3 linked regions of the Ovis aries genome follow. The protein of the gene in region 2 interacts with the protein of the main gene of each other region in a biochemical or structural test. Links are inferred from orthologs where the notes say so. Each region holds a gene or a part of one and is shown on either strand. Other genes may lie near its edges. The genes, in order: CDK9, MBP and PRKCZ.

Region 1 (10,510 bases), on a different chromosome or scaffold from region 2:
TCCCAAACTCCCAATCCAACACTCTCCAACCACTCTCCATCTTGGCAACCACTAGTCAATTCTCTACGGCCCAGATTCCATTTCTATTCCATAGGTGAGTTCATTAGCGTCATCTTTTAGGTTCCACATGTAAGTGGTATCATCTGGTATTTGTCCGACTTTTCTTAGTATGATATTCTCTAGTTGCATCCCTGTTGCAGCAACTGGCATTATTTTCTGCTTTATCCGTTCAGTTGCTCAGTTGTAGCTCTTTGCGACCCCACGGACTGTAGCACGCCCGGCTTCCCTATCACCAACTCCCAGAGCTTGCTCAAACTCATGTCCGTCGAGTTGGTGATGCCATCCAACCATCTCATCCTCTGTTGTCCCCTTCTCCTTCTGCCTTCAATCTTCCCCAGCATCAGGGTCTTTTCCAATGAGTCAGTTCTTAACATCAGGTGGCCAAAGCACTGGAGCTTCAGCGTCAGTCCTTCCAGTGAACATTCAGGACCGATTCCCTTTGGGATGGCCTGGCTGGGTCTCCTTATGGCTGGCGTTTCGCTGTGCATGTGCGCCACATCTTCTTTATTCAGTATCTGTTGATGGACATTAGGTTGCTCCATGTCCTGGCTATTGAACACAGGAGTGCATGTCTTTTTGAATTTTAATTTCATCTGGATATATGCCCAGGAATGATTGCTGGTTTATACGGTCATTCTATTTTCAGTTTTCTGATGAAATTCCATACTGTTGGGTGTTTTTTTAATAATTTTATTTTTGGCTGTGCTGGGTCTCCGTCGCTACTGGGCTTTTCTCTAGCTGTGCTGAGTGGGGGCTCCTCTCTAGCTGCACCGTAACTTCTAGCTGCAGAGCAAGGGCTCCTCGCCGCAATGGTTTCTCTTGTTGCGGAGCGCAGGCTCTAGGGCACATGGGCTTAGCGGCCGTGGCTCCCATGTTCGAGAGCACAGGCACCATAGTTGTGGCGCAGAGGCTGAGTTGCTCCGCGGCATGTGGATTAGGGATTGAACCTGTCTCCTGCACTGGCAGGCAGATTCATTACCATTGAGCCACCAGGGAAGCCCCATAATGTTTTCCACTGTTTTCTTTTTAAATCAGATTGTGGGAATTCCCTGGTGGTCCAGCGGTTAAGGCTCTGTGTTCCCACTGCAGTGGGGCACGAGTTCTATCCCTGGTCAGGGACCTAAGATCCTGACTACCATGTGGTACCATCAAAAAATAAAAACAAACTTGGGATTTTTTTAAAAATCACCAGATTGTGTTCCTCTTTGTACAGCGCTCTCTGAAGGCTTCCTAGGCTTGGGGCTAGAATAGATTCTCCCTAAGCCTCCAGAAAGAACCAACCTTGCTGATGACAACTCCAGATTTCAGACTTTTCTCCTCAGAACAGAGAAAGTTGGTTATTCTAAGCTGCTGTGTTTGGCAGCCCCAAGAATCAAATAGGCTAGTCATGATTTTTTTCTTCCTTTCACTTGCCTTTTGTGAAGCTGTGACCCAGGTTAATACCTACTAGGAAAGGACAGTTCAAGTAAAAGGTTTTGCCAACCTTTTTTTCCCAGGTCCCCTTTAAGAGGCCTCCACTGGACAGAATGTAGAAAGTGCTTCACATGTGCCCATGTCAGATTTCAGACTCACAGGAGAGGTATTCCCCAGAGTGTGCTGTTCCTGAGTGTCCCAGCTCAGAGCCCACATGGTCCAAGCTTCTGCTAACTGTTCCCTGTCCTCCTGCCCGCCTGCCACCCCAACTCAAGCTACCGCCACCTCCGCAAGGCCCTGGAGACCCTTCAGCTTGCCTGCTCATTTCCTCTTGCCACTCTCTGGCCAGCAGCCTGAGGACTCTTGCAGGTTACAGATCTGTTGTTATTCCACTGGCTAGAAGCCTCTCCAGCCTTCTGTGGTTGGAAGTCAAGTCTGAACACATCTGTCAGCCAAGGCAGACTCTGCCCCGCTGGGTCACCACTGCAGGTGCGGCTCACAGAAGGTCCCCCCAGTTTCCTCCTCAGCAGACTGAGTCCCGTTTCTCATCTGTCTCCCTGCTTTCTCTGACACTGAGTGGAGAGGAGAATAAGGGAGCATCGTGGTACCTGCCGCTTGGGTAGTCAAAAGAGAAATAAACAAGAGACAGAAGTCCCCTGAAGGTATGTCAGGGGACATGAACTGGGACAAAGGGAAGTACCATGTCCTGACAAATCAAGCCTCAGTGGTCAGCTACAGGGTTAAGAGCTGGCGGTCTGAACACAGAACAAAGCACACAGCCGTTTACTGAAAAAGAGTCAACTTTAATTGTAACTGACCAGCCTGTACCCAGGAATGTCTCTGAACAATCAAACAAAATCAACACGATAAAACTGTCCTATCGAAGAAACCAATAGCTTCCGTCGGCCCCAGAGATTCTGAGGGCTAGGCTGAGAGCAGCCCGTTCCCATTCCTGAGGCTGGTTCTGTGCCCCACAGAAGTTTCTCATCCCACAGGGAGGGCCAGGGTGGGTGAGGGACCAGTCCCCTCCTCCCAGCATGCTGGGGTCTCTCAGAGTCACCGGGGGGGCATGCCTCTCCCCCCACCCCAGTCCTGCCCTAAGGTAAAGGGAGGCCCTCTGAGCGTCACTGCCAAAGCCAGGGAACAAGGTGGGCAGCTCAGGTGCCTTCCTGGACTCTCCACCAAAGTTTTACTCCAGTCTGCTCGGTTGGTGCCCGACGCCCAGGGTGCGGATTAAATAAGATATGCGCTAGAGGAAAAACTCACATGCCCCATAATCTCCACGCTGCAAGTCACAGAGCAGAAGAAAAAAAACCAAAACCACGGCCCTAACGAGAAGCAATAGCAGCCAGCCCTCAGAAGACGCGCTCAAACTCCGTCTGGTTGGTGGTGGCAGGATTCCGGCTCTGGTTGGTTGACTGCTGGGTGATCTGGCTGCCCTTCCGGCGTGGAGGTGCCAGGTACTCGAACATGGATGTCAGGTGGGTGGAGAGCATGCCCTTGAGGTCCGAGGGCATGGGGTCGGACCAGAAGAAGTCGTGGTTGAGGGCGTCGTCACTGTCGATGCGCTGGGCGGGGTCCAGCACCAGCAGCTTGTCGATGAGGTCCAGCGCGTAGGGGTCTCGCACGTAGGCCTTCAGCCTGTCCTTCACCTTCCGCTTCTGGCCCTTGACCAGCTCCACTTTCTCAAACAGCTCGTACTTGTCCACATTTGGCCACACCTGGGGTAGGGGGGAGGCATGGAAAGAGGGGAAGACTAGTTCAGCAGGGTATGTGACTGATCCACTGGTCAAGTATGTAGTGACTGGATACGTCTCCGTTCAGGACATCCCTGGTGATCCGATGGTTAAGAACTGCCTACCAATGCAGGGGACACGGGTTCAATCCTTGGTCTGGCAAGATTCCACATGCCATGAAGCAACTAAGCCCGTGTGCCACAACGACTGAAGCCCGGGTCTAACGCCAGTGCTCTGGAGCAAGGTAAGCCCCCCGCACTGCAACTAGGGAAAGCCCAGGCTCAGCAGTGAAGATCCAGAGCAGCCAAAAATAACTAAGTAAACACGTACAACTTGCTCAGATGCTTCCAGACCACCCCAGAGCCCTCTGCGGCCAAAGCAGCAGTAACCACAGATGGGACACAGGCACTGAATACCAGGCCCTTTGGTGTGAATCGCCTGGGAGATGTGTGCCAAGTGTGACAGAACCACAGATGTCTCACGGCAGAGATCAGCCCTGAGGTGAGGTGCTCAAGACACCTTGCCGGAAAACCCCAGGAACCAGGGACGCAGCCCAGACCTGACGTCGCCATGGCTAACAGCAGACTGTAAGCCTCCACCAGCCGCCTGTCCAGGTCAGGGTTTTGCCTCTGTTCCGTGTGCCCCTCCTCCCCTGCCAGGGAGCCTCCCCCACCCCTCTCGAAGGTGTGTGGCCTTTGGGGGGCCCCCAGGAGGCAGGCTGCGACGCACCTCGGGGGTGATGGAGCCGCAGAGCTGGCTGATGAGGGCGAGCTGGTGCTGCTCCGTGTTGCCCTGCATGATGGGGCTGCGGGTCCACATCTCCGCCATGATGCACCCAGCACCCCACAGATCAATGGGGGGGCCGTAGTCCCGCTCCCCTGGGAACAAGAGCACACCAGGGAGGGCCCCCTGAGCCCCATGGCCTCCTGAAAGGCCACGCCCCTGGGGCCGATGGCTCAAGAAGCCCTGGCAGTTGGGGTGCTGAGACTGAGCTGAGTGCCCAGCCCCTGCTCCCCTCTGCCAGCTCGGGAGAGTCCTCACCGAGCAACAGCTCTGGGGGCCGGTACCAGAGGGTCACCACACGGTTGGTGTAGCGGTTGGGCTGGCTGTTCTTGGCCAGGCTGAAGGCCCGGGCCAACCCAAAGTCCGCCAGCTTCAGAACCCCATCGCGGGTGATGAGCACGTTAGCCGCCTTCATGTCCCGGTGCAGGATCTGCAGGAAGCACAAGGCGGAGGGTTCCCAGGGATCCCTTAGCCATGCCCACCCCGCTGTGAGCGCAAAGGCCAGCCCAAGCCCTGCTCTCTCCTCCCCAACTAGGGCCCCCACCTTGTTCCTGTGGATGTAGTAGAGGCCGTTAAGCAACATCTGCATGACCCTCTTGATCTCAGATAGTGTGAACTTGACTAAGACGTTGCTCAGTAGCCCAGCAAGATCATGCTCGCAGAAGTCAAACACCAGGTATATACTGCCTTTGCAGCGGTTATAGGGGGAAGCTGAGGCAGGAAGAATGAGGAGGAGAGAGGGGGAGGCATTAAAAAAAAAATCAGAAACCTTACATGTAACTCATTTCCTCCAAACTAGCTCCCAACCCCTCCAACCCATGGCCACCCCGAATATCCGGGTACAAATTCCTTCACAGGTAAAACATTTTCTGAGTGCCTTCTCTGGGCTGGGTGCTGTGGCAGGCCCTGGGGAAGCACCTGCTCCGATGAAAAGACCAGAGAAAGCAGTCACAGTTGGAATGTCTGGGTTAAGAAGAGGCAGTGTAAATGTGTCCAGTGTCAACTCCGCAAACAAAGCCTCAGTTTTTCCATCTGAAAATGGGAACATGATCCAAACAACTTACCTTTGGTTCGACAGATCTCAATCAAGTTGACCACATTCTCGTGTTTTAGAAGCTGGAGGATCTTGATCTCCCGCAATGCTGTAATGGGGAACTGGGTGGGAGAAAAGACAGGAGGAAGTCAAAAGTGGGTGAGCACACTACAGACCCAGGAACTGACCATGGGGTCCACGCGAAGGGTCATAGGCTGGGAGACAGTAAATGCACAGGCTCTGGAATTAGCTGTCTCAGATGTCACATATGTAAAACGGGAGTAACTATGTACGCCTCATAAAGAACTGAATGAATGAATCAAAATAATTCAATGAATGATCCGAAACAGTGACACTTCACACAAAGGTTCTGTTACCAGTCATCAGACGCTCCGCAGTTTCTTCACCCTTATAAATTTTAGCCCTATGCCTGCATTTAACCTGCTTGGCAGTTAACAAATATATAATTAAAGAAGCTGGTCTCTGGAAAGCTGAACCAGAACTAACACACGTGTGTGGCAGGAGAGACTGTTGCTTTTCAGCTGAATACCAATCACCTTTTCAAAGCCATTGCATGTAATTATCATTATCATATATATATCTTTTTTGCGTTCAACAAAATTAAACCCTAAAGAAAAAGTCTTTAACGACTTCCTAACTTCAAAAACCTAGGGGCACTGGGTACAAGCATGGGCTCCCCCGCCTGGCACCAACCATATTCACCCAAGAATGAAGTATCAAAAGCTCTAAGACATCTGAATTCAAAGACTGAACTGGGAAGTCAAACTTCCTGGAATATGGAAATTTCCAAACACCTAATCTGAATCTATTACGTTGAGAGTCCCCAAACCAGAAAGGTGGAAACGCAACCTCACGCCCAAAGGAGCTGGGAGACCTGCCCACCCCACCCCATACTCACCCCCTCTTTCTCGTTCTCCATCAGTACCTTCTTCAGGGCCACCTTTTGGCCGGTCTTGCGGTGCTTTGCCTTAAACACCTCCCTGCAGGCGGAGAGGGGAGACCCAAGAGGGCTCTTAGAGGACGTTTCCGCAGAGCCCGCCCCTCCCCCACCAGAGGAGGCCCGGAAAGGGAATCCCGGGCGGGGCTGGGCCGGGTCCCTCACGGCACTCGGCTACCCCACCACGCGGTGACTCTGGTCCCTTCTCGAGTCTCAGCCTTCTTCCCTCTGCTCCTTGCGCCTCACTCGGGCGTCTCGCAGAGAGATCCCGCACCACTCACAGGCTCCTCTCTGCAACCCCTCCCTGCCCCCCCATTAAGGGCCTCAGGCTCCTCCCAGCCGGCCGACTCCTTCAGGCCCCGGCGGGGTTGCGGTGCGGCCTAGCGAGACCAGGGGATAAGTTTGCGTCTAAGTGGCTTCCCGACCAACCGGGCCCGGGTCTGGGCGTCCCGACGTCGGCCCGGAGGGGTGCAGGTTCAGGAGGCTCCCGGTCCCTGGGGGTTGAGGGGGGGCCCAGCCTTACCCGAAGGTGCCTTGGCCGATTTTAGCGAGCTTCTCATATTTGGTCACCTCATCACAAAAAGGGCACTCCACCGAGTCGTACTGCTTTGCCATGGCTGACTCCAGTGCGCCGCCGCCGCCGCCTCCAGCCACCACCGCCGCCGCCGCTGCTGCCGCCGCCGCTCCCGCTCCGGGTCCCGCCGCCGTGCTCCAGGCCCCTCCGCGGCCGCGCCACTTCCGCCTCCACGGCCACTTCCGGCCTCGAGGCGCCGACCCCGCCTCTTCCGCCCGCCGCCCGCCGCCAGGCCCCCTGGGACTTGTAGTTCCCGGGAGGCCAGGAGGAGCCGAAGCTGCAGAGGCGCCTCCGCCACCGCCGCTGCCCCCGCCTCCGCCGCCGCCGGCGCCGGCGGTGGCCCCGATCGGGGGCGCGGGGAGCCGGGGCGCCGGGGCTGGGGCTCGAGGTGGTGCGTCCCGCTGCATCGGCTCGGGCCGCCGCCGCCGCCGCTGCCGAAGCCGCTGCCGCTCTGGCGCCCGATCCGGGGCCAGCCGCAGTGCCCTGCTCCTCCTCCTCCTCCGACGGCGCCGCCTCCGCCGGGCTGCGCTGGGCGCCGGGCGCAGGGGGGGTGGGGGGGCGGCCCCCCGAGCCGCGGCCTGGGGGCTCCCTGGCCGGGCCCGGGCCCGGGGCGGCCGGGCGAGGGGGCCAGACGGAAACAGCCGATGAGGAGGCGGCCCGAGAGCCCGGGAGGGGGCGCGTTATAAAGGGGGAGGTGCCCAGGCCTCGCCCTCCCCTCCCCCTCCGCCCGCCCCCTCCCTCCTCCCTTCCACCCTCAGCGGCCGCACCTGCCGCCGCCGCCGCCTGCCTCCCGCCCGCCCGCCGCCCTCGGCGCGTCACCGCCCGCGGCCCCTCCTCCGCCTTCGGAGGTGGGGCCCCGCGCTCAACACCTGGCTTCGGGGCGCGACTTACCGCGTGCCTCAGTTTACCCGCACATGCCAGCCGCAGCGGGGAGTCCCTTCCTCCCCGGCTCGGGATTTCCCCACCCGCTCTCACACCCCACTCTACGCAGGCGAGGACTAGAGGTGCCGAGAGAGCGGCCTCGGGTCCGGGGAAGGGAGAACGGGCCCCGACCGCCGCCTCCCCGGGCCCCCGCCGACCCGCCGTTGATATGGCAACCGATAGCCGCCAGGGGGCGCGGCGACATTGAAGGTGGTGAGCCAGCAACGCCTGGGCCTTCCACTCCTGGATCCCCACCCAGTTCTCTGGGAGACAAGAGATGAGACCCACAGGACTTTGGTTCCTGCCGAGCTGCTCCCTAACTGGTCGCGCCCCGGGTTAGTAGTCACAAAGGTAGCCGGCATTTCGTCGGCCCCTCTTGTGTGCTCTGGAAGTGCTGGGCATTCCTACTGAATCCTGAATCCACCGCCCATAGTCAGGATCACTAACCAATTTTACAGAAGAGCACATTGAGGCTCGGAGAGGTGAGGTCATTTGCTCAAGGTCTCACAGTAATAAAGCTGGGACTTGAACCTTGTCTGTCTGAATCCGAAGAGGATTCTCTTGACTCCGGCTATTTACAGTCTGTCCAGCAGTATAGCAAGTGGTGCTGTTTGAGGCCTGCTGTTGTTATGCCAGGGTACCAAGCCCACCACCGTCCACCATCTCCTTTGATCCTATGCCTGCTTCTCCTACCCTGGCGCTTCTTCCCCAGCAGCTTTCTGATACATTCTGGCTCCAGGAGCCTCCTGTATCTCCTTCCAGCCTTTGACACCCAGCCCTCAACAAGGCTGCCTTCAGACCTCCTCTCCACCCCTCTTCAATTTGCACCCCCCACCCCAGTCCTCCACCAATGGATCTTAAGACCTGTCCTCCCCAGTCTGTCCCCTCCATCTGTCCCCCTGCCAGCACCCATCAGATCATTCTGAAGTGATGTCTGTATGTCTTTCTCTCCACTGTCATCAGGAAAAACCAAACTGTGACATTTGAGGCTCGAAGGAGATCAGCCCTGGGATTTCTTTGGAAGGAATGATGCTAAAGCTGAAACTCCAGTACTTTGGCCACCTCATGGAAGAGTTGACTCATTGGAAAAGACTGATGCTGGGAGGGATTGGGGGCAGGAGGAGAAGGGGATGACAGAGGATGAGATGGCTGGATGGCATCACCGACTCGATGGACGTGAGTCTGAATGAACTCCGGGAGATGGTGATGGACAGGGAGGCCTGGCGTGCTGCGATTCATGGGGTCGCAGAGTTGGACCTGACTGACGATTGAGCTGAACTGAACTGAACCGAACCTAGGCTGTGGCCACACTGCTTCCTACACGCCAGGGCCCCTTGCCTTCAGGGCTATGCTCTCTGGTTGCACCACTGCCTTCTCTTCTGCCAGGAAGGTTCCTGGGTTGCTCTCCAGCTCTTAGCTCACATTAGGAGTCAGGAATGGGTCTGGTAATCCTGGTGTCCCAAGAGACCCTGTTCTGCTGGGAAGCAGGGGGACTGCCCGGGAAGGTCTTCAGGATCAGGTGAGGAGCAGAGAGCCCTCTCCTGAAGGCAGTGTGGACCAGCGAGGGTTTGGGGCAGGTCAGGGAGTGATCTGGGGTCAGTTTCTTGGGTACAATATTAGAAGCAGGGTGACCATTGGCTAAATTGGGGGTGGGGAGAGCAGAGAGTGAGAAAATAATAATAACTGTAGTAATTATAGTTTATGGAGTGAAAATAAATGGTCCAAGCTGTACACTTAGCACTTTATGGGAATTATCTCAATTCTCACTCAGCAATATTATACTATTATTACCTCTGTTGTACTTAGAAGAACACTGGAACTCAGAGGTGACGTCACTTATTGTTGTTGTTCAGTTGCTAAGTCATGTCTGACTCTTTGTGACCCCATGGACTGAAGCCCACCAGGCTCCTCTGTCCTCCAGTATCTCCTGGAGTTTGCTCAAATTCATGTCCACTGAGTCCGTGATACTATCTAACCAGCTTATCTCCTGGAGAAGGAAATGGCAAACCCAGTATTCTTCAGTATTCTTGCCTGGAGAATCCCATGGACGGTGACATCATTGGCCAGGGTCAAATACCTGGCCAGTTGCCACACTGATATGTAAAGCCAACAGCAGCCAAAGTCTGGTGCCAACCCCAAGCGGTTACCCATGTCAGGACTCTGCCCACCTGGGCTGAGGGTGGAGCAAGGGCACAGTCATGGCACAGCATCGCCAGCTGGGTGGCGGATGCCAGTGGGAGGTGTGGGAGGAGATAATCGCATTGGGTGGGAGGGGGGAGGTCTGTGTGGGTTTGGGTGGCTTCCACCATCAGATTCTCAGGCTGGGGCCCCTGCTTGTTTCTCACAAGCCCTCTCTAAGTTACATCCTGTGGGCAGAGGCCTCAGCAGAAGTTCCGGTGGTGTCATCACCTCCACCCTCCCCGATCCCTGGCCTGAACCCTGACATTGCCAGTCACTTCCCCTCAGGGCGTCGGGCCCTCAGCCCTCCCTGCGGGATGATGGCAGGCAGGAACAGTCAGAGCCCTTCAGAAGGCTGCCCAGTGAAAGTGAGAAGAAATTAGATCCTAGCCAGAAACAACTTCTCACCAACTCTGACTTCTTCACTGGCTGGAGGGAAACGTTTCCTGTTTCCATGGATCGGTTAGGCTGGCAAGACCAGGCCTGTGGCCAGTACTCCGGAAATATTTGCTGACTGACTGACCAGGCTCTGAGAGAGCCTCTGGTCCTGCTGCCATTTAGCAGTTATGGAAACTGAGGCACAGAGTAGGAAAGGGAGCCCCTGGCCAGCTGTTTGACCTGGACCTTTGCTCTCTTCCCCGACCAGGAGCAGGGTGCAGGGCATTTGGAGGGAAGAAGAAGGGCTCCTGGGGGGGTGCACTCTTGTTGCTGATCTACCTGGGGAGACAAGGGGTCACCGGATAGGGGGACATAGAATAGAGAATGGCTGGGTGATGTCCGCAGCAATTCCATGGACCTTCTGCCCACACCAGGTAGGTACTGACTGCATGCCTGGCCCCATGATGTATGTCAGA
Region 2 (10,410 bases):
ACACCTGAGGGCTTTCCTTTCGAGGCTCCTAGTACCTGGGGCCCGTGACTGCCGACCCCAGGGAGGGTCTCTGTGACGCTCGCCCTCTCCATCAGCATGTGACAGGGACTGTCCCTGGAGCGCCAGCCACAAGGGCTCTCCTCGCTGAGTGCAGGGCCCTGGGCCTGTTCACATCCTCCCAAACACTTTCCGAGTGTTCTGGACGATCCGGGTGCCACTGGGTGCTTTCAGATCCTCAAATCCTATGTTTCTCCCTCACCTGGTGTCCCAGAACAGGACACAGAACAGGGTCGCTAGGCAGAGACCGATGGGTGGCTTCTTACACCGTTGGTGCCAGACCCTCCCAGCAAGCAGCTCCCTCTAGCTGGGAACTGGAAACGAGCCGGGGGAACACAGGGGTGACAGGTGGCCACAGGAGGCCCTGTCGAGGCGGTCAGGGCGGCGGTGAAGGAGGGACCACGCCCCAGCTCCGCGTTCTCCTGTGTCTTTGCAGGTGACACCTCGCACACCTCCTCCATCGCAAGGAAAGGTAAGCGCTCTGCAGGCACCGAGCCGCCATCGCTTCACCCTCCCGGAGCCCCTAAATGGGCCAGACGGCGGGCTGGGCTCTGGGCTCCCTCATTTCTCCCCAAAATGTTCTGCCACGTGGAGCCCACGCAGAACTAGAATGGGCTGAGAAACGCTTGCCCCAGGCAGATAGCACTCCAGTCCCCGCCCTGCCTGGATCGGAAGTCCTCCTGGGCGGCTCCGGGCGGCCGCGGCCACGCGCAGGGATGCGCTGTCTGATAAAACCGGTTTCCTGCCTCAGCTCAGCGCTGCTCTGACCGTGCCTCCTGCTGTGAGAAAGAGCGCCGGGCCTGCACTGACCCCTGTGTCACTTTCTCTTTCTCTTCCTCACGCAGGGGCGAGGACTGTCCCTCAGCAGATTTAGCTGGGTAGGTGCCGAGCGCCCCGCCCTCCCCTCCCCTCCCCCGTCCTCCCCTCCCCTCCCCCGTCCCCTCCCTCTCGGAGGCTCCCGCGTCCACGTTCCTTCCATCCTCCCGCTTTTGCCCCAGCTGCTTCCCCCCACAGCAGGCCCTTCCTTCTAGCTCCGCCAGCGCTCCTGTTCCCTCGCCCCGGGGCCCACGCACCGAGGGGCTCCTAGGAGACTCTGCTGGACTCTCCCCAGGAAAGGAGGACCCCCGTCTTTGAGAAAGTTCCTGACTTCCTTCCAAAACGGTGGATGAGAAAGTCCAGTCCCTGCAGGCTGCCTGCGCACCTGTCCAAGTAGCTAACCCCACCCTGCCGGGTGTTGACATTCTGTTGAGAAACAATGATTCTGCTGACAAGACAAAAGGCTGCTGAGTTCAGTTGCTCAGTTTATAACAACCTAAGTGATCCAAAAGATTTTGGTTTGGGTTGTGATTTAGTCATAACTAAAGCTTAGATACCAAGCCATCCAGAAAAACCTTTTTAGGAATTTCTGAGAACAAAATGTCCATGAAAATTTTAAAGGGCTCACTTGTTCAGCTTCTAGTAAAATTTGGTGTCTACACCAACTTCTAATGCTGATCTGTATTTTAACCAAATTACCTTCTAGTAAAGGCTTCCCTGGTGGCTCAGTGGTAAAGAACCTGCCTCCCAGTGCAGGTTCTTTACCACTCAGGTTGGATCCCTGGGTCTCAGGAAGATCCCCTGGGGGAGGGCGTGGCAACCCCCTCCAGTATTCTTGCTTGGAGAACCCCATGGACAGAGGAGCCTGGTGGGCTCCCATCCAAGGGGTCTCAGAGAGTTGGACACAACTAAGGAACCAAACAGCAGTATTTACCAGTAAATATTAGATACAGTTTTTACTTGATCAGATTTCCAGAATAAAAAGAGGCCCACTAACCTCTAGGCTGGGAACTGTGTCTGTCTTGGAGACAGAAACACATTCTCCAGTGTCCTTGGAGACACAAGATGTCTCTCCCACAGAGCCTGCATCTCAGTGATGCACGGTTAGTAGGCAACACAGAAATGAATGCATGAATTTAGAGAGAAAGAAAGAAGAAAGGGAAGAGGGAAGAAGAAGGAAGGAAGGAAGGAAGGGGAAGGGGGGAGGAGGGAGGGGAAGGGGGGAGGAGGGACTGCAGTACTGGAGAAGTACCGCACAATTCGGTAAAGCAATTACCCGTCAACAGAAAGTAAATACATTTTTAAAAAGAAGGAAGGAGGGAGGGAGGCGTCCGCCCTCAGAGAAAAGGCAGAGGAAGCTTCCGGGAACCGTTCCAACACATGATGACTGCAGTGTGAACTGAGAGGTTGCTGGGACATTCATACAGATACACGTGAGCCTATTTCCGATCTGATGAATTTGCAAAGAGTGCCGATGACGTAGAGAACTGACTCGGGCCAGCAGCCACAGACAATTAATGAGAGACTTCTTGTGCCAGCAGGAGAAAAAGGTGACACTGAGGAATGAAATCCATTTCTGACCCAGAAATCTTCCTTCAGTAACTACTCGACCTGCCTCGTAGCTTTCTAGGCGTGGTGGACCAGGGCAGAGCCGCTGATGACCGGGAGTGATGGGGGAGGAGACCTTCTTTCTTCCCTGTCGGTTAAGGCCCCTCCAACCCGGCAGCTAATAGAATGGCTTTGCATGCCTCTCCATGTCTCCATTTTTGTTCCCACTAACCCGTTAATTTTCTCTTTTTTCCAAAGCAAAATTCTGCTCTGTGTTCCGTGAGTCGGTCTGTTGGTTTCCGAGAACCGCATGACTGTCTTCGTTTGGAGATCCTGAAAATTTCACGAGTTTTCTAACTATGTTGTATGTTTTTCTGGCAAATTCTAGGTTGTCCAAAGATACAAGTGACCAAAAATTTGAAAGGAGAAAATTAAGCAGATTATCAATCTGAAAACCAATCCTTGAATTTTATTCTCAGAAGCACTTTATTCTGGAGAAAATCAACAGAGTTAGAGCATGACAGGCTCGCGTGGGACAGTGCGGCTTTTTCCCATGCTGGTCTATCCTTCGGCACAGCTCTCTTTAACTGTCCTTGGCCCTGAGACCCTGACCAAGGGGGTGTGTCCCTGGAAACTGTGGGTGCGAGGGCAGCAGTGGGCGCCCCTCGTGTGTAGTGCCCAAGATTCGCACACTCGACACCCCTTGAGACCAGATTTTCACGTGAAAGTGGTTGCCTCATTCTGAGTGGCCAGCATTTTCCCAGCATCTGTTTCTGGCTGAAAGCAAAGGAACCCACAGAAGTAGCGCTGGGGCGGGGCGGGGGGAGGGTGGGGGCCTAGACAGGTGGCCCTGGCCCAGCTTCAGTCCAAACACGAGAGAGCTGGCCTGCAAGATCCTTGAAGCTCCTGGAGCCCACCTCCAGCACTTCTGAACCAGAGGGATGGACTCTATGCTTCCCGAGCTCCCTCCAGCCCCACAGCAGCCTCCTGAAACTGAAAAGGACCACAGGCTGAGGCCAAGGGCTGCTTCCCAAGCTCCCTCCAGCCCCACAACACCCTCCTGAAACTGAAAACAACCACAGGCTGAGGGCCAAGGGCTCTAGAGCTCGATCAGAGATGGTTTTACTTCATTTGTAGAATTCTCAGGAGAGGCCCAGGCAGAGATAGTCCCGCTTCTTGTTGGCAAAATGTAAAGTGAGATCCCAGAGCCTGTCTGTTGCATGAGATCTGAGTGAGGGACGTGCACCCCAAGGCGCTAACATCTGAGCCCCAGAGTCCCCCTTCCTTCCCGCGCTCACAGTGCAGGGTCCCTTTGAAACTAGAGCTTATACGAGTGCAAACTGGCCCCAGAGACACACGCCTTTACATTGCAGTAACTGTGTGTCGTTGCTACCTGCAGGAGGCTAGCTTTCTCCATCTTCCCCGAAGTGAGAGGGGTCCCCCCCAGAGAAGCTGGAGGCGGAGGTGCGGGCTGCCTGAGGAGCCCCCTCTGCAAGCTTGAGAGTTCAGAGCCACAGGCTCCAGTCTCAGAGCAGGTCGTCCATCATCTCATCTCCCTGTTACAGAAGAGGAAACTGAAGCTCAGAGAGCTTCCGACAGTTGCCCGAAGTCACACAGCCAGGGAGTGGGGTTGCTGAGACCCACCCCGGTTGCCAGCCCTGGGACGGTGCCCAGGTGCACAGCTGGGGAACATGGCTTCCCATCCCACCCCTCTCCCTCTGTGGTCACCAGCCCGCAGCCCTGAGCCCCTGGAAGAATCCTGGTCCATCCACACTCAGGGCACCCACGGCGCAGCCAGGGGAGCTGGTTCTGGCCTGCAAGAGGCCTCTCCTAGCTGGAGAGCTGGGCATTGTGTCTTTGCCCTTTAAAAATGGATGAGCCCCCAATTCCCCAAGTGTGAAGGCTGCTGAGCCCCGGGGGAGCTGGCATGAAGGGTCTGTGCCAAGGGCCAGAACAACCCTGGGGCCGGGCGTTGTCTCTTGGGGTCCTGTCAGGGGCGTGGCCTCGCCCACCCTTCTCCAGCACAGTCCCAGCGCCCCTCCCCCCAGTGCGTGCAGATGAAGACTCTGGAGAGTGTATGTGACTCTGGCTGATCCACCCTGGGACCCGCTCGGCCAGGAGAAGGGCAGACGCTGCCGCAGGGACGGTCCCACCCCCCGCCGGAGGCACCGGGTGCCCAGTGTGTCGCCGAGCGGCCGCTGAGGCCGGATGGATGTGGACCGGGGCAGGGCCACGGGCCGTGGGCACAGACCGCGAGCCTCACCCTCTCTTGCAGGGGGCTGAGGGCCAGAAGCCAGGATTCGGCTATGGAGGCAGAGCATCTGACTACAAATCGGCTCACAAGGGACTCAAGGGGCATGACGCCCAGGGCACGCTTTCCAGAATCTTCAAGCTGGTAATGTACCTTCTCCACATGGGAGGCGCTGGGAGGGGTCCGGGGATGAGTCTGGGACGGCCTGGGGATGCCAGTCTCCAGCCCCTCCACCTGCCGCTTCTCAGGAGTTGCTCCTGCGCATCCCAGCCCTGCCAGGTGGCCGTTTCTGCAGAGCTCACCTGAGCAGGTGCTCTACCAGGTGCTAGGCCAGGGTTCCTCGGGAGCTTGAGGACAAGAGGGGTCGTGCTGGACCCCGAGAGGCTCAGGGGCCTGGAGGGCACCAACCCATCTGGAAGGTCAGGTGGCTCCCTGGCCGGGGCAGCAGCACTTTGGGCCCTGAGGGTGACGGGAGGGAAGATGGCTGGATGGCAACAGACCCTGGGAGCCTCAGGCATCTGTCCTGCTGATTCACACTGGAGCTACACGTCAGGTCCCCCGGCCTCCCTGAGGCTTCGTCTCTCCTCTGTGAGTCGGGGGGATGTGTGGGGAGCTGCTCTGACAGGAGGGCTACCGTGCTGTCTGCCCAGCTCCCTGCCCAGACCCCCTCAAAACAGCCGGATCACAGTGACACGTCAGCCCTGCTCAGAAACCTGAGATCTCAGGAGGGGCTGATGGGGACAAGGCACAGAGTCCCCAGGCCTGAGCAGACGGAGGACGGAAGGGAAGGCTCTGGACTCGGGAGGGGCAGACCCCAGGCAGTAACCCCTCACCCCAGGCCCCTCAGACTCCTTCCTCCCACAGCTACAAGCAGGCAGAGCTGTCCTGAGGTGAGAGGGATGGTGTCCCAGGTCCAGCGGCCAAGCTCACCTGGGAGGAGATGGAACACCCTGGAGACAGAGGCCCTGGAGCCAGGACGCCCAAGGGCTGGTCCAGGCTCTAGTCTCCTCAGACAGAGTAGACACGGCTGCCCCAGTGGGCAGGGCCCAAATGCCCAGACAGTCCTCGAGAAGGTGGAAAGGAGCAGCAGGCTTAGAGCTGGAGGGGCTCGGGAGCTGAGATGAGCCTGTGGAGCCACAGCAAGCCTCTCGAGCAGTTGAGGCCATTTCCACAAAGATTCGAGGCTCCTGGGGGGCCTTTCATCCCTGATAATGGAACCACATTTGCACGGCGGCCTGGCAGGAAGGAACAAACGTCACCAAATCCCAATCCCACTGGTTTTCTCATTAGAGCATCAGCCCAGCCACTAGTTTCACTGACTCTTGACCCAAATGAGGCCATGACTTCCCTGCTGATGTCCAGCTACAACTGCAGTCCTGACTCTTACAAGGGTCCGGTCAACTCCCCTTCCAGCTGGAAGACGTGTCATGAGGAAGACAGACACCAGCAAGGAAAGACACAGTCCGTGTGCTAAAGGAGGAGCGGCCGCGTGAGGACGTGGCACTCACAGTGCCCTCAGGGCCGCAGGACCGCCCTGCACCCTCGGGCATCGCGGTGCCGGCGTCGCTGCCGTGCTCTCACCCCACGCGGCAGCTTCTTCCACCCGTGCCCCGGGCCAGTGGCCCCCCGGGGGAGACCTGTGTTTCCATGGACTCCTGTCCCAGGTGTCCGTGGTCTTGGATGAGACCAGGAGTGCCTCCCGAGGCTCACCCGCTGGCTTACTGCAGGTCACAGCGTGATTTCACCTGAGAAGGTCCTGTGGTCTGTGGCGAGGCTATGCCACCAGGAGACCAACAGCCCCACGCGCCCCGTCCACGGGCTCAGGCCCCACCAGCAAAGCGTGATGGCTCCTCAACCCCACTCACCTCTGACCTGCAGAAGAGTGCTTCCTGCTGAGCTCGTTGAAACGTCGCGATTTTACAACTTACGGTGAAATGGTTTGGTCGGGAACACAAAGACTCGTAGGTTGGTCACCTAACTAATTCTGCATCAAGTCCCGTGTGTGTGTGGCACGTCCAGCGGTCGGGGTACACAGACGGCCGCGACAGACACAGCGACCTAGGCCCTGAAAGGTGCTGGACTCTGAAGGTGACGAGAAGCAGGACTCAGCTTTGAGGAGACTCAGTCTCTTCAGCAAGACATTTAAATACATGAAGTGAGCGGTGAGTGACCCACTGCTAAGTTGGCTGGTGTCAGACTCAATGTGGGCAGGACTCAGTCTTCAAAATATTGATCCTGAGGCAAATCTGATAAGGAGATAAATACTATCCCAAATGTCCAAGAAACAGAGAGCCTTACGATATACGTGTCTTGATTCTGAAATGAGACGGCGATGACGCATGTCCTGGCGGGGCTCTGGGTCTAAACCCAGAGCTGCGGTGTTTCCATCAGGTCACCTGCAGTGTCCAGACCATTTCTGATTCCCCAAGACTTCTGGACCAGAGCGACCAAGGGCAAAACCCAGATGTCTGCAGTTGGGACGATGTCCATCCTCATCAGAGTTTCTAACACCAGCTCACCTCTGCTGGCTGACTTTGGGGAAGTGACTCAACCTCTCTGAGGAGCTTCAGCTCCTTCAACTAGCAAACAGGGATGCTAAGAACATCCACCCACCTAGGCTGGCTTGCTTGTTCACAAGATGAAACAGATGTCAGAGGTTTAGATCACAGTAGATAATAAATTGTAGGCACAGTAATCGAAAAGAAAAGCCATAAATATGCCATCTCTTATTCAAAAGTTGCCCTTAGGGTGTTCAGTGGTGTCTCAGGTAAGGTGTTTGGCAAATAGAGTAGGAGGGGGACTAAGCCCGTCTCAGCGTGCATGTGCTTGATCAGATGGGGCAGCGGTCTGCTCTTGTGGACGACTGACTCGCACTTTCCAGGAGGCCCTAAGGTTAATCTCTCTGAAATTCAGGACAAGGGGGGGCCAGTGCTGCCTTGCTCAGGGCTACTCCAGGAGCAGCTCTGAGGACCAAGCACCCAAAGCCCAGCCAGACTCACCTGGGACAAGACCCAGGTCCCTGCTGAAGGGCTTGGCCCCGAGGCTGGGGAACAAAGCCCCTTTCCTGCAAGGGGAGTTATCTCTGAATGATGCCTGACATCTCCCGAGGCTAGAATTCCACAGACTTCCCCACACGTGAAAATAAAATGCGTCCAGTGAATCAGCAATGGAGGAATGTTTTGGGGGAAAGCAAAATTGCAAGAAATCAGAGCCATCATCTTTCTTTTGACCGAGTTAGCTATAAGACCTGGGGCCTTGTGTTTCCATTGCCTAATCTCGGGGTCACGTGGGGGACACAAGACGTGGACGAGGCCCGTCTGTCATCAGATCAATAGCGTATTTCATGTTCATCTTTCTTTCCGGGGGCTCACAGTCTCAAGGGGATCTTTGAGAGATCAAGTTTTCATTCATAACCTACGAGAAAAGGGAAATCCAAAAAGAGACTAAAATTTGAATAAGAATTCAAATGCAAAAAAAAAAAAAGCACCTTCCTCCAAGTTCACCTAAGTGGCACCTAGGGTGACAGTTGCCTTCTCGAGCCAATGCCCGGACAAGCTCCCTTGTCTCCGTCATTCCCACTCGCTCTCTCCACTTCCACCATTGCCAGCTCTTCTGCAAACCGTATTTGTCCAGAAAACATGGCAACTCTTGTTTTTTTAAGACCCTGAGGTCAGAGTCTGTGGATGGCTCATCTGGGAGGCTGGTTTCCTTGGTGATGCAGGAGAGGGCTCGAAGGTGGGGTGGAGGTCGCTCCCCGGTGAACCGAGTAGGGCTGTGCTCTCAGCATCCCAGCCTCACGCAGATGAGCCCATCCCAGGCATCGTTCATGGACCACTTCCTGCAGTCCCTGGGAATCTCTAGTTTAAATGTCAGGGGAGTGTGTAATTTCCTCGGTTCTGTCTCCTCACAACAAAGATTTGCAGCAACGGACATTAAAGCCTTCAGCGCATCATAGCTCTCAGAGAGTGTTACAGTGCCGTATTACAGCTCAGTTTTATTTAGAAAGTAAAGGAAAATACATCCTCGCGAAGAGGAGAGAGAGAGAGCGCGCGCACGCTGGAGAGAGACCGCTGGCCCTGTGGCTCCTCTTTTTCTATGTCTTTCCCTCCGCCCGGGCCTGCCCTGTGTAAACTGGGCCAGCCAGGAGTGCTGTTTGTTTCGCCTGAGGTCCTCACTCCAGTCCTCAGACCTTCCTTTGTTCCATTTTTACGGGCTTTTCCCTTCCTTGTCTTTCAGCCACCGCCATCTGGACTCCTTTTAGATGGGAGGCCAAATTCTTTGGGAATAGGGGCGTCGGGGTCTTTCTGGCTACTTCCTGCTGAGCTGGGATGGTGAGGGGCATTGGGCCTCCCGTCTCTTGAGGGGGGAATGTTAGGAGAAAACAAGCCCTCCTCTGAGACATTCAATGTGTCAGTGGAGTTTTCACCCCCAGAAGCGCATGGTTCTCAGACGCAGCGCCCACGCGCCCTGTCCTGTTTGCCCAGTGGTACTTGCATGTGCAATGGGATAGAGGATGCTGTGAGACACGGGGTTAGAGGCCAGCCCCACGCAGCTTCATCCCTAGAGACAAGCCCCGAGGGGCGAGGCCCTGCCCCTGGTGACCACAGGGCCCTGGCTCTCCCAACTAACTCTCTGTTTCTTTTTCTCAGGGAGGACGAGACAGCCGTTCCGGGTCCCCGATGGCAAGACGCTGAAGCCCAGCTCCCCTCCCGAACCCCGTCCCCAGCTTCTTAATACAACCGCCTCGACACTAACCATTGTCTAAATTCCCTAGTGCAGCCGGCGCCCCCCCAACCCTGCCCATACGCACGTCCTGCGGGCTCCTGGCCAGTGGCTCAATGGAGAAGACGGTGCAGCTGTCAGCTCACCCTTGGAGATCAGCGAGGTCCCCGAGGGTCCAGGGTGGGCGACCCTCCACGCCCACCCTCTGCCCTGGGACGGCCGTGGGAGCAGCCCTGGGGACCCTGGCGCCGGGCCCCCACGCAGGATGTGGAGACCGACCTTGGCTCTGAGCTTCCTTTGGTTTCTTTCCCGCCTCCTCTCACCTCTTAAAGCACTTCCTTTCCTAACTGATCACAGTGGAGCGGCTTCGCGGCGGGAGCTTTGGTACGTGGCAGGCGGGCGGGCAGCTGGGAGTGTCCCGTGTGGTGGCCACGGCTCACACCCCGGAGGAGCCGGATTGGCGCGTGCGGAGAAGGGACGGGGGGGGCGAACTCGGCCGGGCCTCGGGGGTCCCGCAGCGGCGCCCCCACAACCTGCTTCCTACGGAGCCCGGCCGGAGGGCGGAGGCGGCGCAGCTCAGAGCGGTGGCAGGACGTTCCGGGAGCCTCGCGGTGGCCGCGGCCACCGCGGGCGCGAAGGTGACAGGTGGCATGCTCGGCACGGCGGTGCGCACAGCGAACACTAACCCTTGGGGAGAGATAACCAGCCCACCCGCTTCCTCCCAGAAACCCGCTGACCAGCACACTGGCTTTTCCCGAATCGCTGCCGGGCTGGGTGCAGGCCCCAGTGAGGATGGGGAGGGGTCCTCTATCCCACTCTTTTCTAACCCCAGCTGATATCTCCCGTGCTTCCCCCATAACCTACTGATTCCCACCTTTTGATTTCAGCCTCTCTCCCACCAGACCCCCACGAAGTCCCCACACTGGCGTCACAACCCCCCTTAGGATGAAAATGAGGAATAGTCAATGTAACGCCCAAACGTGGCTCTTTAATCCCCTTCTAATTCTGAATATTTC
Region 3 (10,329 bases), on a different chromosome or scaffold from region 2:
GGTTGGGAAATGGTTGCGGTCAGATGCTGGTGGCATTACTCTTGATCTCAGCACTGTCATCTGGGTCCCCTCTGAGTGAGGCTGGTGATCTACCCCATAGGGCAGGGAGGCTGGCCTGACTTGGCCCTGAGATGAGGAAAGTGTCTCAGGTGGTCCCCTCCTGCCCCCTGGCACCCTCAACCCTCAGAGTGGCCAGCATTCCAGGTTTATCCTGGGTGAGGGGTCAGGTGGGTAGCATCTCTGGCCCCTATTCTGCAGCCTGGCTCCTGCCCTGGTCTCTGGCCCAGGAGTGGACTGTGGTGTTTACACCCCTTTCTGTCTTCAGCTCTTGATTAATCCTGTTTTGCGAGTTTTTACTATATTTTGCACATTTAGTTAAGTACTAAGGAAACGTGACCTGCTGTCTCGGCCCTGAGGGAGGCTTCTTTCCTTTCCTGGCATCACACATGTGCCAACCAAGCTATGCAATCTGGGGCTCATGGGCAGAGCCAGATGTGGAGCCGGGAGACGGGCCCTTGGCTGTGCTCGGCCATGGACATTGGGGTGTTTGTCACAGCAGCCAGCTTATCTTAGTCACTTGAAGTGTCATCATCGGAGTGAATCAGCCCCTGGTGGCTCTTGAGGGGTTTGCTCCAAAGAAATGTTGAGGGTAGTACACCTAAACTAAGACAACATTGTAAGTCAACTAGACTGCAATCTACATTTTTTTAAAATGTCAGAAGTAGTGGTAATGTCTATCTGTAGAAGGAAAAAGATATCAGGGAACTGGGAACCCATGTGCCACATGGCATGGCCAAAAAAAATAAAAATAACCACTCTGCTCTGTTGTTATAGCTGATCAGTATTGCAGATTAAATGAATTCCTTGATCAGCGACTTACCTGAGACCCGGGGCCCCAGTTAGCAGTCACAGATTAGCCAAGTGTGCCTCCGTGTTCACTCCAGTCACGTGGCTTCTGTTGAAAGCCCTGTTATAGGCTTTCCTCCAGATCCAGAAAGCAAGCCACCATTGCTGCTACTTTTCTCGGTTTTTAAACATCTCTTCTGCTCCCCGAGGCCTCATGTTGGTGTCTGTCTCCAGTGCCAAGATGGCACTTCTTTCTGTCCATGTGGGCGGCCACCATCCGTTCCCTGGGGAATATCTACATAGGGTGGATACATCTCCTGGGGCAGCGCTGTCCCTGATCACTGTGGCAAATTTTGTTCTGTTGTTTGAAGTCACAGTGTTCTGAATAAATGCTCTTGTTTTTTAGTGGCGAGGGCTTGGGCCTCTCCCCAGGGCTTGAGCACCTTCCCCCAGGGTGGCTGCCAGGGTTCAATGTGCACACATGTTGGAACAGCGTGCGAAGGTCTGTGGGGGCTGTGCAGCCATCCTTGTCCTGTTTGTGCCACATCGGCAAGCCTTTTCCGTCTCTCACCTCTGTTATAGCGTGAAAGCAACCACCGGCAAATGTGTGAGTAAAACAGCTACAGTGCAGACCGCCCAGTGTCAGGGTCAGGGTCACTGGGCCCTCTCCAAGTATGAGAGCTGTACTGCCCTGCAGGACCACATGGAAAGCTCTGGCTGCTCCCCCAGTACTCAGCCCTCAGTCTCCATGTCTGCTGTATGCGTTTAGGAACTGTTTCTCGTGTAAATATGTGATCAGAGGCTTGGTGGGCGGTCTGTAGCTTGTTCACATGCTCCACGTGTGGGGCATCACCATCATCGCACCAGTGATGCAGACGGGCTGCCAGTGCTCAGAGGGGCTCCCTCTGTGTTCTCAACTCTCTGAAAGCCACCCCCCTCCATACCCAGAGGAACTGTTGACCTAAAAATCCATAAGCTGGCCTCAGCAGGGCATTTCAGGGAAATCATGTGTGAATTTAGTTTTGAAAATAGAACCTTATTAAATGTGAGGAGGATCCTATCAAGGAAAGAAACCACAAGGTAAATTGTTTGGGGACCTGAAGAACCCTGCCTGCCTCCAGAGGATGGGCCTGTCAATCACAGGCCTCTCCCACCAGCACCCCCACCCTTCTAGAGGCCTGTCAATCACAGGCCCCTCCAGCCAGCAACCCCACCCTCCTCTGGGAGGCCGGTAGCTTTGCAGATTCCCAGTGGCCAAGTCAGCATGTTCTGCCCTCTTCCTCTGGACCTGCAGGCAGCTTGGGGTGGGTCCCACAGGAGGGGTGCACGGGACCCTCCCGTGGTTCCACCGAGCCTTTCCCCTCCCGACTGCCTACACCACTGGCCATTTTGTGGGCTCTGCCTCAGGCCCTCCAGGCCAGCCACACCAGGAGGCTGAGCACCTCCTCTCCTTCAGCCTGCCCATCTCCCTGCCCCAGGTCCACCCAGACAGTGGCCAGAGGGTCACTGGCATCCCCCAGCTGGTGCACCCGGCCTTCTGGCTTCTCCAGCTGAGTTGGGCCCCTGTACTTGCAGGGTGGTCCCTCAGCTCTGCCTTCCTCCACCTCTCCGTATGCACCATCCAGGCCTCTGCTCCCTGGGGAGGCCTCCCACAGCAACCAGCCACATAGCACCCTCCCAGCCCCAGTGAGCCCCCGGCCAACGGGCCCTGCCTTATTTTTACATTTTTACCCCAAAGGCAGGCCAGGCATCATTGAAAGTGAAAAGTGAAAGTCACTCAGTCGTGTCTGACTCTTTGCAGCCCCATGGACTGTAGCTTGCCAAGGCTCTTCTGTCCATGGAATTCTGCAGGTCAGAATACTAGAGTGGGTAACAGTTCCCTTCTCCAGGGGATCTTCCCAACCCAGGGATCGAACCCAGGTCTCCCGCATTGCAGGTGGATTCTTTACCATGAGTCACCAGGGAAGCCCTCTAAAGGCATCATTGGGAGAGTAAATAACTGTTGAATGATTTGAGTGGTGGACGAGAGTTTCTCTCTCAAGTTTTATTTCATCAGGATCAGAGCTGAGGGGCTCCTGCCACTGACCCCAGAGTTGGATGGCCTGGTTGCTGCCTGCCTGGGCCTCTCAGGACAAGGGTGACCCCAGCCTGTGTGTCCTGCAGGTTGTTCCTGGTCATCGAGTATGTCAACGGGGGCGACCTCATGTTCCACATGCAGAGGCAGAGGAAGCTGCCAGAGGAGCACGCCAGGTGGGTGCAGCTGGGGCAGGGGAGGGCAGGCCACAGCCTGGAGGGTCCTGGGAGTGACCCGGCCTTGGTCCTGACCCTCGGCGCACAGTGTACACAGTGATGCCATCTGGCCTCCGCAGAATGATCTCTGTTACTAAATGATTCTCAGGGACAGTGACCACGTTGCCCCCGCCCCACTACACCCACCCCCCACAGCCTCGACCTCACAGGTGGGTGGGGCGTTTATTTCCACCCCATACACATCTCTTTCCTGTTTTCCCATACTTTTTTCCCTTTTCCTCATTTCCTCACTTAAAAATAATTCCATGTGGCACTGTGAGTCACCATAGGTCCTTTTTGGGGAGAGGCAAGTAATAAATCAAGAACCCCACACGCTCATGTTCTCCTTTTTTAATTGTGAAAAATTTGCATAACATAAAATTTCCACCTCAACCATTTTTAAGTGCACGGTCAGCGGCATCGAGCACATTCACGGTGCTATGCAGCCATGCCGACCACCATCTCCAGGACCTTGGTCTCCAGTACTTTCATCACCAGGACTTTTTCCTCTTCCTGTACCGAAACTCTGTCCCCGTAAAACACTCGTTCCACATCCCCTCCCACAATCCACACACCCCTACTTTGTCTCTGTGACTCTGACGCCTCCAGGGACCTCAGAGAAGTGGAAGCCCATAGGATGCATCCTCCTGCATCTGGTTTGTTTCACTCTGTGTCATGGCCTAAGGTCCATCCACGTTGGAGCAGGTGTCAGTGTCGGCACCTCCTCCCTTTTCAAGGCTGGATCCTATTCTATCACAGGAATGGACCGCATTTTATCCTTATCTTTCGATGAACACTTGGGTTGCTTCCATGATTTAGCTGCTGTGAACAAGGGGGTACAAATACCCATTTGAGCCCCTGTTTTCAATTATTTCGAGTTATTCACAGACGTGGAATTGCTGGGTCACATGATAATTCTATTTTTAATGTTTTGAGGACCTTCCAAGCTATTTTCCACAGCAGCTGCACCATTTTCATCCCAACCAGCAGTGCATGAGGGTTGCAGTTTCTCCACATCCTTGACAGCACTTGTCATTTTCTGTTCGAGGGGATGGGGGGCCCGTTGTATAGTGGCTGTCTTGGTAGGTGTGAGGTGGTATCTCATGGTAGGTTTGGGTTGTGTCTCCCTGACCATGGGGATGCTGCCTGTCTTTCCCGGTCCTGTGGGCCCACCTGTCTTGCCCAGTCTTATTGGCCCATGAGTTCATCAGTGGAGAATTCCAACGTCTTGTGTCCTCCTATCCAGGTTCCTGGTTGGGTTCTCTCTGCTGATGACAGGTGTTGCCCCTTCCCCAGGTTCTATGCTGCTGAGATTTGTATCGCACTCAACTTCCTACACGAGAGAGGGATTATCTACCGGGACCTGAAGCTGGACAATGTCCTCCTTGACGCCGACGGCCACATCAAGCTGACGGACTACGGCATGTGCAAGGTGAGCATCCCGCCCACTGCTCCCGCCCGCCCGCCTCCCAGGGTCGTGGCCAGCCTGGCACCCACTCCGTCTCACCCATGCCTGGTCTCTGGCACCTCCACGTGACCACAGTCCTCCCACTAGTGGGGGCGTATCTGGGCATGCCCTCCCTCCTGGTAATTGGCTTTGTCCTCACAGGAAGGCCTGGGCCCTGGTGATACAACAAGCACTTTCTGTGGAACCCCGAACTACATTGCCCCCGAAATCCTGCGGGGAGAAGAGTATGGTAAGCATGGGTGGGACAGGCACTCGGCTCTGAGTCTGGAGTGGGCCATGACACCCAGACACCCCGAGCCCTGGGCCCCTCCTTTGCCCAGGGACTTGGATCTGAGGCGGGAGTGGACGAGGACACCCTGAGCCCTGGGAGCTGCCTCTGCCGGAGACTCTGATGGAGCAGAGAGGGAAGGAGGCAGTCCTAGTGGGGCTAACCCTGCCAGGGTCCTCACCAGGGTCTCTGGGGAGCTGACCCAGCTGCCAAGAAGAGGGTTTCCTGACTAAATTGCACTAAAACACACACCCTTACTTTGTCCAGCCCCAGGTCATCACCTGGCCTCAGTCCCAGCTATTGTCCCATGTGTTCACCTGAGTGTGCCCTGGGGAGGTCACTGGACAGGATCCCTCTGGTCAAGGAGCCTGAAAGGCTTGGGAAGGAGAACACAATGCAAAGACAGGCCCCAAGCAGAGGTCCCACGCCACTGGTGCCGCCCATAAGTGTGGGTTCCCCAAACCCACCAGAACCACCCACAGCCCCTGTGACACTGGAGTGCGTCCACACACTTTCTGGATGTGAAATGAAAATGAGATGCACACCCTCTGCGTTTTGGGGTTCTGCTGTTTTCCCATCACAAATACTCTTTCAAATATTTCCACATATTTTCTTTGCCATTGAAATTGGGGGGTAGCAGGGCGAGCAGGTTCTCTCCCCCTCCGATCCCTGGGCACCCGGGAGGCCAGTACGATTGAAGTCACTTAGTAACCAAACGAGGATGGACAGCAGCCGTAGTCCAAAGCAGAGTCTATAGCCTTCCCAGGATGGGGGTCCTGTGTGTGACAGAGCTGCACACCTTTGGACATCGGGGGTGGCTGGCTGTCCCTGGGCTTCCTTGACATGAAGACAGCTTTGCAACTGCCAGGACAATGGACAGAGTGGAGGCCAGGCCACCTGGGAGATGCTGGGGACACCCAGCCTCAGCTGTGGTCCAGGTCCAGGTCACAGCTGTTGCCCTGTGACTGGATAGCACAAATGGAGAGTTCTGGCCTGACCAGCCTGGCTATCCCTCAGGGTTCAGCGTGGACTGGTGGGCGCTGGGCGTGCTGATGTTCGAGATGATGGCAGGCCGCTCCCCCTTTGACATCATCACTGACAACCCTGACATGAACACTGAAGACTACCTTTTCCAAGGTGCGTGGGCCATATGTCCCGTTCCCTCCATGCCCTGCGGGTTTTCCCCTTTTAGAAGTGGGGGTGAAAGAGTCTCCTGATTGGTTGCCGTGGCTGCCACAGACTAGGTGGGGCCACTTGTCCACTACTGGCTCTCAGGGAGCAAAGTATAGTGGGCAGGGGGATACTGCTCTTTCACATCCACAGGAAAGAATCTGTCCTGATTTGGCCCAGGCCCCCTTCTCCCCACCTCCAGTATGCACCTGAGTCCCGACGGGGGCTGTGCTCAGCCTCAGCTTCTTGCCATCTGGGCCCCTGGAACAGAACTGACTGCCCCCAGGATGCTGGCCCAGGCTGTCCCCACAGTGCTCTCTTGCGCCTGTGGACATGGGGAGGCTGTCCCACGGTGCCCTCCTGCGCCTGTGGACGTGGGGAGGCTGTCCCACGGTGCCCTCCTGCGCCTGTGGACGTGGGGAGGCTGTCCCACGGTGCCCTCCTGCGCCTGTGGACGTGGGGAGGCTGTCCCACGGTGCCCTCCTGCGCCTGTGGACGTGGGGAGGCTGTCCCACGGTGCCCTCCTGCGCCTGTGGACGTGGGGAGGCTGTCCCACGGTGCCCTCCTGCGCCTGTGGACGTGGGGAGGCTGTCCCACGGTGCCCTCCTGCGCCTGTGGACGTGGGGAGGCTGTCCCACAGTGACCTCCTGTGCCTGTGGACGTGGGGAGGCTGTCCCATGGTGCCCTCTTGTGCCTGTGGATGTGGGGAAGGTGTCCCACAGTGTTGTCTTGCGCCTGTGGACATGGGGACACAGGACCAGCTGAGCTGCCATTGGTTCATCCCTGATCATAGCATGCCTGATCGTGGGCACCAGGGCCTCTGAGGCCTGGAGACCTTGCTGGGGTGCAGGAAGAGGCCCAGGCCACCGTGACTGCCATGACCCTCCTGCCCAGAAAAGGTTTCCAGTGCCCTGCAGGCTGCTGGGAAGAGCTGACAGGCTAGGGTCGAAGAGGGGGAGCTGGAGGAGGGCCAGGAGAAGGAACAACTCTCTCCTCCGGTCCTGCAGTCATCCTGGAGAAGCCCATCCGGATCCCCCGGTTCCTGTCCGTCAAGGCCTCCCACGTGTTGAAAGGATTTTTAAACAAGGTACGCTTGTGGCCCCCGTGGCACCCCAGTGGCCATGGCCGCAGCCCTTCCTCAGCTACTGAGGTTGAGGCTTTACCACCTGGTCTGCTAGTTTAGTGCTGGACGTGGGTGTGACTCTGCTTCCTTCCTTAGTCCTGTGGCTGCTTATTCACCTTGACAAAAGCTAATGAGGAGAAATTATGCCGAAGAGGCATTTCCTGAAGGAGCTTAACCCGCTGGGAGGAAGCAGTTTCACCTGGGTGGGGGGCCGGCCATGGGTGGTTTGTTGGTGCTGTTTAAGACCCGCTACTGAGTAGGGCTGCCCTGCTCTGTGCTGACTTGTCCTCATTTGAACTCTGACACACCAGGACCCCAAGGAGAGGCTTGGCTGCCGGCCGCAGACTGGATTTTCCGATATCAAGTCTCATGCCTTCTTCCGCAGTATAGACTGGGACCTGGTAAAGTGATTGGAACCGGATACCCACCTCCGCGGGTTGGGGAGGGACCTCCAGGGGGCAGGATGGGTGGAAATGGGGATGCATTGGGAAACACTGATTGAAAACAAGGAGGCGGGCTGTGATGAGGCCCTGGGGGCAGTGCTTCCTGAAGGTCCTGAGAGCAGCCTTGCTGGGGCGTCCAATTCATGCTGTGCTGGGTGTCCTGTGGGGATGTGTTTGTGTGGATGAGCACAGCCATACACCCATTGATTGAGCTCCATGTCCACGCCCTGAGTCAGCTCACAGATACTTCACTTAACCATCTAGCTAGTCCCAACTAGACACCCAGGTGTGCTGTGGTCCTTCCCCCCACAGTGGCCCTTGACCCACCCAGTCCTGGGGACTCAACCTTCTGGGTCTGGGCCTTCTCCCACCCCAATGCTGCTACCTGGGTCTGAGCTGCCCACATCCTGGACAGTCCCCCGTTTCCTGCGTGGGCCCTGCCAGCAGCCGCCTCCTCCACTGGGCCTTTAGGAGTCCCTCGCTGCCAGGCCCACTCCTGCCTCAGGGCAATGACACAGCTCTGCCCCTCCCAACCTCCACCCACCACCTCCTTCAGACTACCTCAGCACGCTCACTCCCAGCCCCTTTGGGCCTCCTCTTTCCCGTCACACCTCAGGGCTAAGTGGCGGGACTCTGGGACGTCGCTCTAGGGCAGCACCGTTCCAGTTCACTGCTTGTCACTGAGAGCAGAGGAGGTGACACTGTGTGTGACATTCCCGGGGAGTGGGTGGGGGTAGGGGCAGGTGCTGAGCAGCCATGAGGCTCTTAGGTTAGGGATGGGGGGTGGCCTTGGAAGACCCCGGGCCAGCACCTGGCTGCATTTTCCTCATGGTCTGTTCTGACTTGCTATTTAAATCTTTTTAAAGCAGCCTGAGACCTAAAGTAGGGAAAATAGTACAAGAGAAATGTTTCTTTTTCCCCTTTTTATCTGAATATATTTCATGCTAACAAGAATATGGAAACTTGCCTGACAGAAGGCTGAGGGAGAAGGGAAGGCCTTATGTCCCCAGAAGAGTGTCCAGGGTGTGGCCATGCCCACCAGCTCCCGGGGCCCTGGGATCGCAGCGTGCACATGGGCATGTGGGCACCTGCACACATGCACATACACACACTGGTAGCCCCCTTCTGCCAGTGGGATCAGCCCATCCCCTCTGTTCCGCACCCCCCTCCTGCATCCCCTGGGTGACAGAGATAAGCGTGCCTCTCCAGGTGGCCTGGGTGTGCTGGCTGCAGCCTTGACACTACCGGGCGTGACTGGGGGATTCATCTCTGTGACACTCTCACTTCTTGCACCAACTTCGTTAGCAGAACCTGTGTGTTCAGCTTCCCAAATCCCCCAAAGTTATGGGACCTGTTTCAACTTTCCGGGCCCAGTTTGCTTTTGTTGCCATAAGTGGTGTTCCTAAGGGCCCTGACCCCACAGTGCAAAGACAGGGTATGAGCTGAGGTGGACTGGAGGCTTATTTCTGACTTGGCTGGAGCTGTCTCCCTACACGGGACCTTGGACCATGTCTCCAACCCGGTCACATGGAGGCCTCACCCAGGTGGGAGTTTCCAGGCTGGCTCACTCAGGACCCTCCAAGGGAAGGCAGCAGCCAGTCCTGAAAGGCCGAGGTCATCCACCCCCTGAATCAAGCTGTCCCGGCTGTGAGAGCACAGTGGTTCAACTAGAGGGCTGGCTATCCTCTGGCTCCAGATTCCCTTGTGACGGGGACGGTCCCTCCAGGCAGGCACCCCCATGCCTCAGTGTGGCTCTCTCTGAGGTCTGAGGAGCAGGCCTGGCCCAGCACCCGTGTGCAGCAGACACCTGGTGGAGGGAGGGGAGAGGAGGTAAAGAGTGTGTGAACCTGGGGGCCCATGCCCCCCCCTCAGTGATTGGAGCCACTCTTGAGTTGCTCCACCTCCTCCATGTGACTCCACCCTCTCCAGACACCACCATGTCTCAACCCCCAAGATGACAAGTGCATCCCTTTGGGATTAGGAATACTAATCAGGAATACTAGTCTAGGAATACTAGAAATGGCCACTTAAGGCGTCTCGGGAGGAGGGGTCCCAGTGGAACACAGGTATCCCTACCAAGCCCCAGCTCTCTTACCACTGGGGTTCCAAGATTAAAGCTCCCTAAGCCAGCCTCCATTGGTTTAAGGAGCAGGGTTGCAGGCCCTCGATGGCGTGGGGTATGTCTCTCATGGCCTGTGCTGCCAGCACTTTTCAGCTCAAGTAGAGTTTTTCTGACTTCGGCGGAAATTTCTCCTACACTTTAGAGAGCAACAATTGGCCATCAAACGAGGCGTATATACTTAAGCACCATTTCTTCTGTTTGATTCTGTGGTTTGAGTTTGCAAAGCGCTGAGTCGGCGCAAGTGGCTCTGACTGTATCTTCCTGCAGCTGGGGAAGAAGCAGGCCCTCCCGCCCTTCCAGCCGCAGATCACGGACGACTATGGCCTGGACAACTTTGATACGCAGTTCACCAGCGAGCCGGTGCAGCTGACTCCTGACGATGAGTAAGGCCTGCACTACGGTGGGGTGGGGTTGAGCTGCAGGGTCAGTCAAGCTGCAGGGGCGGGGAGGAAGAGTCCCAGGTGGAGGCAGGGCGTCCTGAACTGCTGGGAGGAGGAATCCCATGCAGGGGTGGGGCGTCCTTAGCTGCGGTGCGAGACAGGGCCGGGTCTTGAACACGCCCACCGAGCCTGCTCTGTCCCGGGCCACAGGGACGTAATC

What was found.
Region 1: of the proteins of MBP (region 2) and CDK9, one has a biochemical effect on the other in vitro, tested with the Homo sapiens proteins (2 studies listed by BioGRID). The link is inferred for Ovis aries from reciprocal best matches to the Homo sapiens genes MBP and CDK9.
Region 3: of the proteins of MBP (region 2) and PRKCZ, one has a biochemical effect on the other in vitro, tested with the Homo sapiens proteins (2 studies listed by BioGRID). The link is inferred for Ovis aries from reciprocal best matches to the Homo sapiens genes MBP and PRKCZ.

Annotation. Positions count from the first base shown.
Region 1 is NC_056056.1:8,426,865-8,437,374, forward strand, and holds CDK9 (cyclin-dependent kinase 9), read right to left. Parts: upstream 6,742-10,510; 5' UTR 6,599-6,741; coding exon 6,507-6,598; intron 6,027-6,506; coding exon 5,945-6,026; intron 5,148-5,944; coding exon 5,057-5,147; intron 4,704-5,056; coding exon 4,537-4,703; intron 4,423-4,536; coding exon 4,251-4,422; intron 4,088-4,250; coding exon 3,939-4,087; intron 3,195-3,938; coding exon 2,829-3,194; 3' UTR 2,256-2,828; downstream 1-2,255. UniProt on the Homo sapiens protein: Protein kinase involved in the regulation of transcription.
Region 2 is NC_056076.1:2,513,307-2,523,716, forward strand, and holds part of MBP (myelin basic protein), read left to right. Parts: intron 1-493; coding exon 494-529; intron 530-902; coding exon 903-935; intron 936-4,696; coding exon 4,697-4,816; intron 4,817-9,321; coding exon 9,322-9,366; 3' UTR 9,367-10,410. UniProt on the Homo sapiens protein: The classic group of MBP isoforms (isoform 4-isoform 14) are with PLP the most abundant protein components of the myelin membrane in the CNS. They have a role in both its formation and stabilization.
Region 3 is NC_056065.1:49,910,844-49,921,172, reverse strand, and holds part of PRKCZ (protein kinase C zeta type), read left to right. Parts: intron 1-3,009; coding exon 3,010-3,096; intron 3,097-4,431; coding exon 4,432-4,567; intron 4,568-4,744; coding exon 4,745-4,832; intron 4,833-5,888; coding exon 5,889-6,008; intron 6,009-7,048; coding exon 7,049-7,128; intron 7,129-7,475; coding exon 7,476-7,565; intron 7,566-9,996; coding exon 9,997-10,112; intron 10,113-10,319; coding exon 10,320-10,329. UniProt on the Homo sapiens protein: Calcium- and diacylglycerol-independent serine/threonine-protein kinase that functions in phosphatidylinositol 3-kinase (PI3K) pathway and mitogen-activated protein (MAP) kinase cascade, and is involved in NF-kappa-B activation, mitogenic signaling, cell proliferation, cell polarity, inflammatory response and maintenance of long-term potentiation (LTP).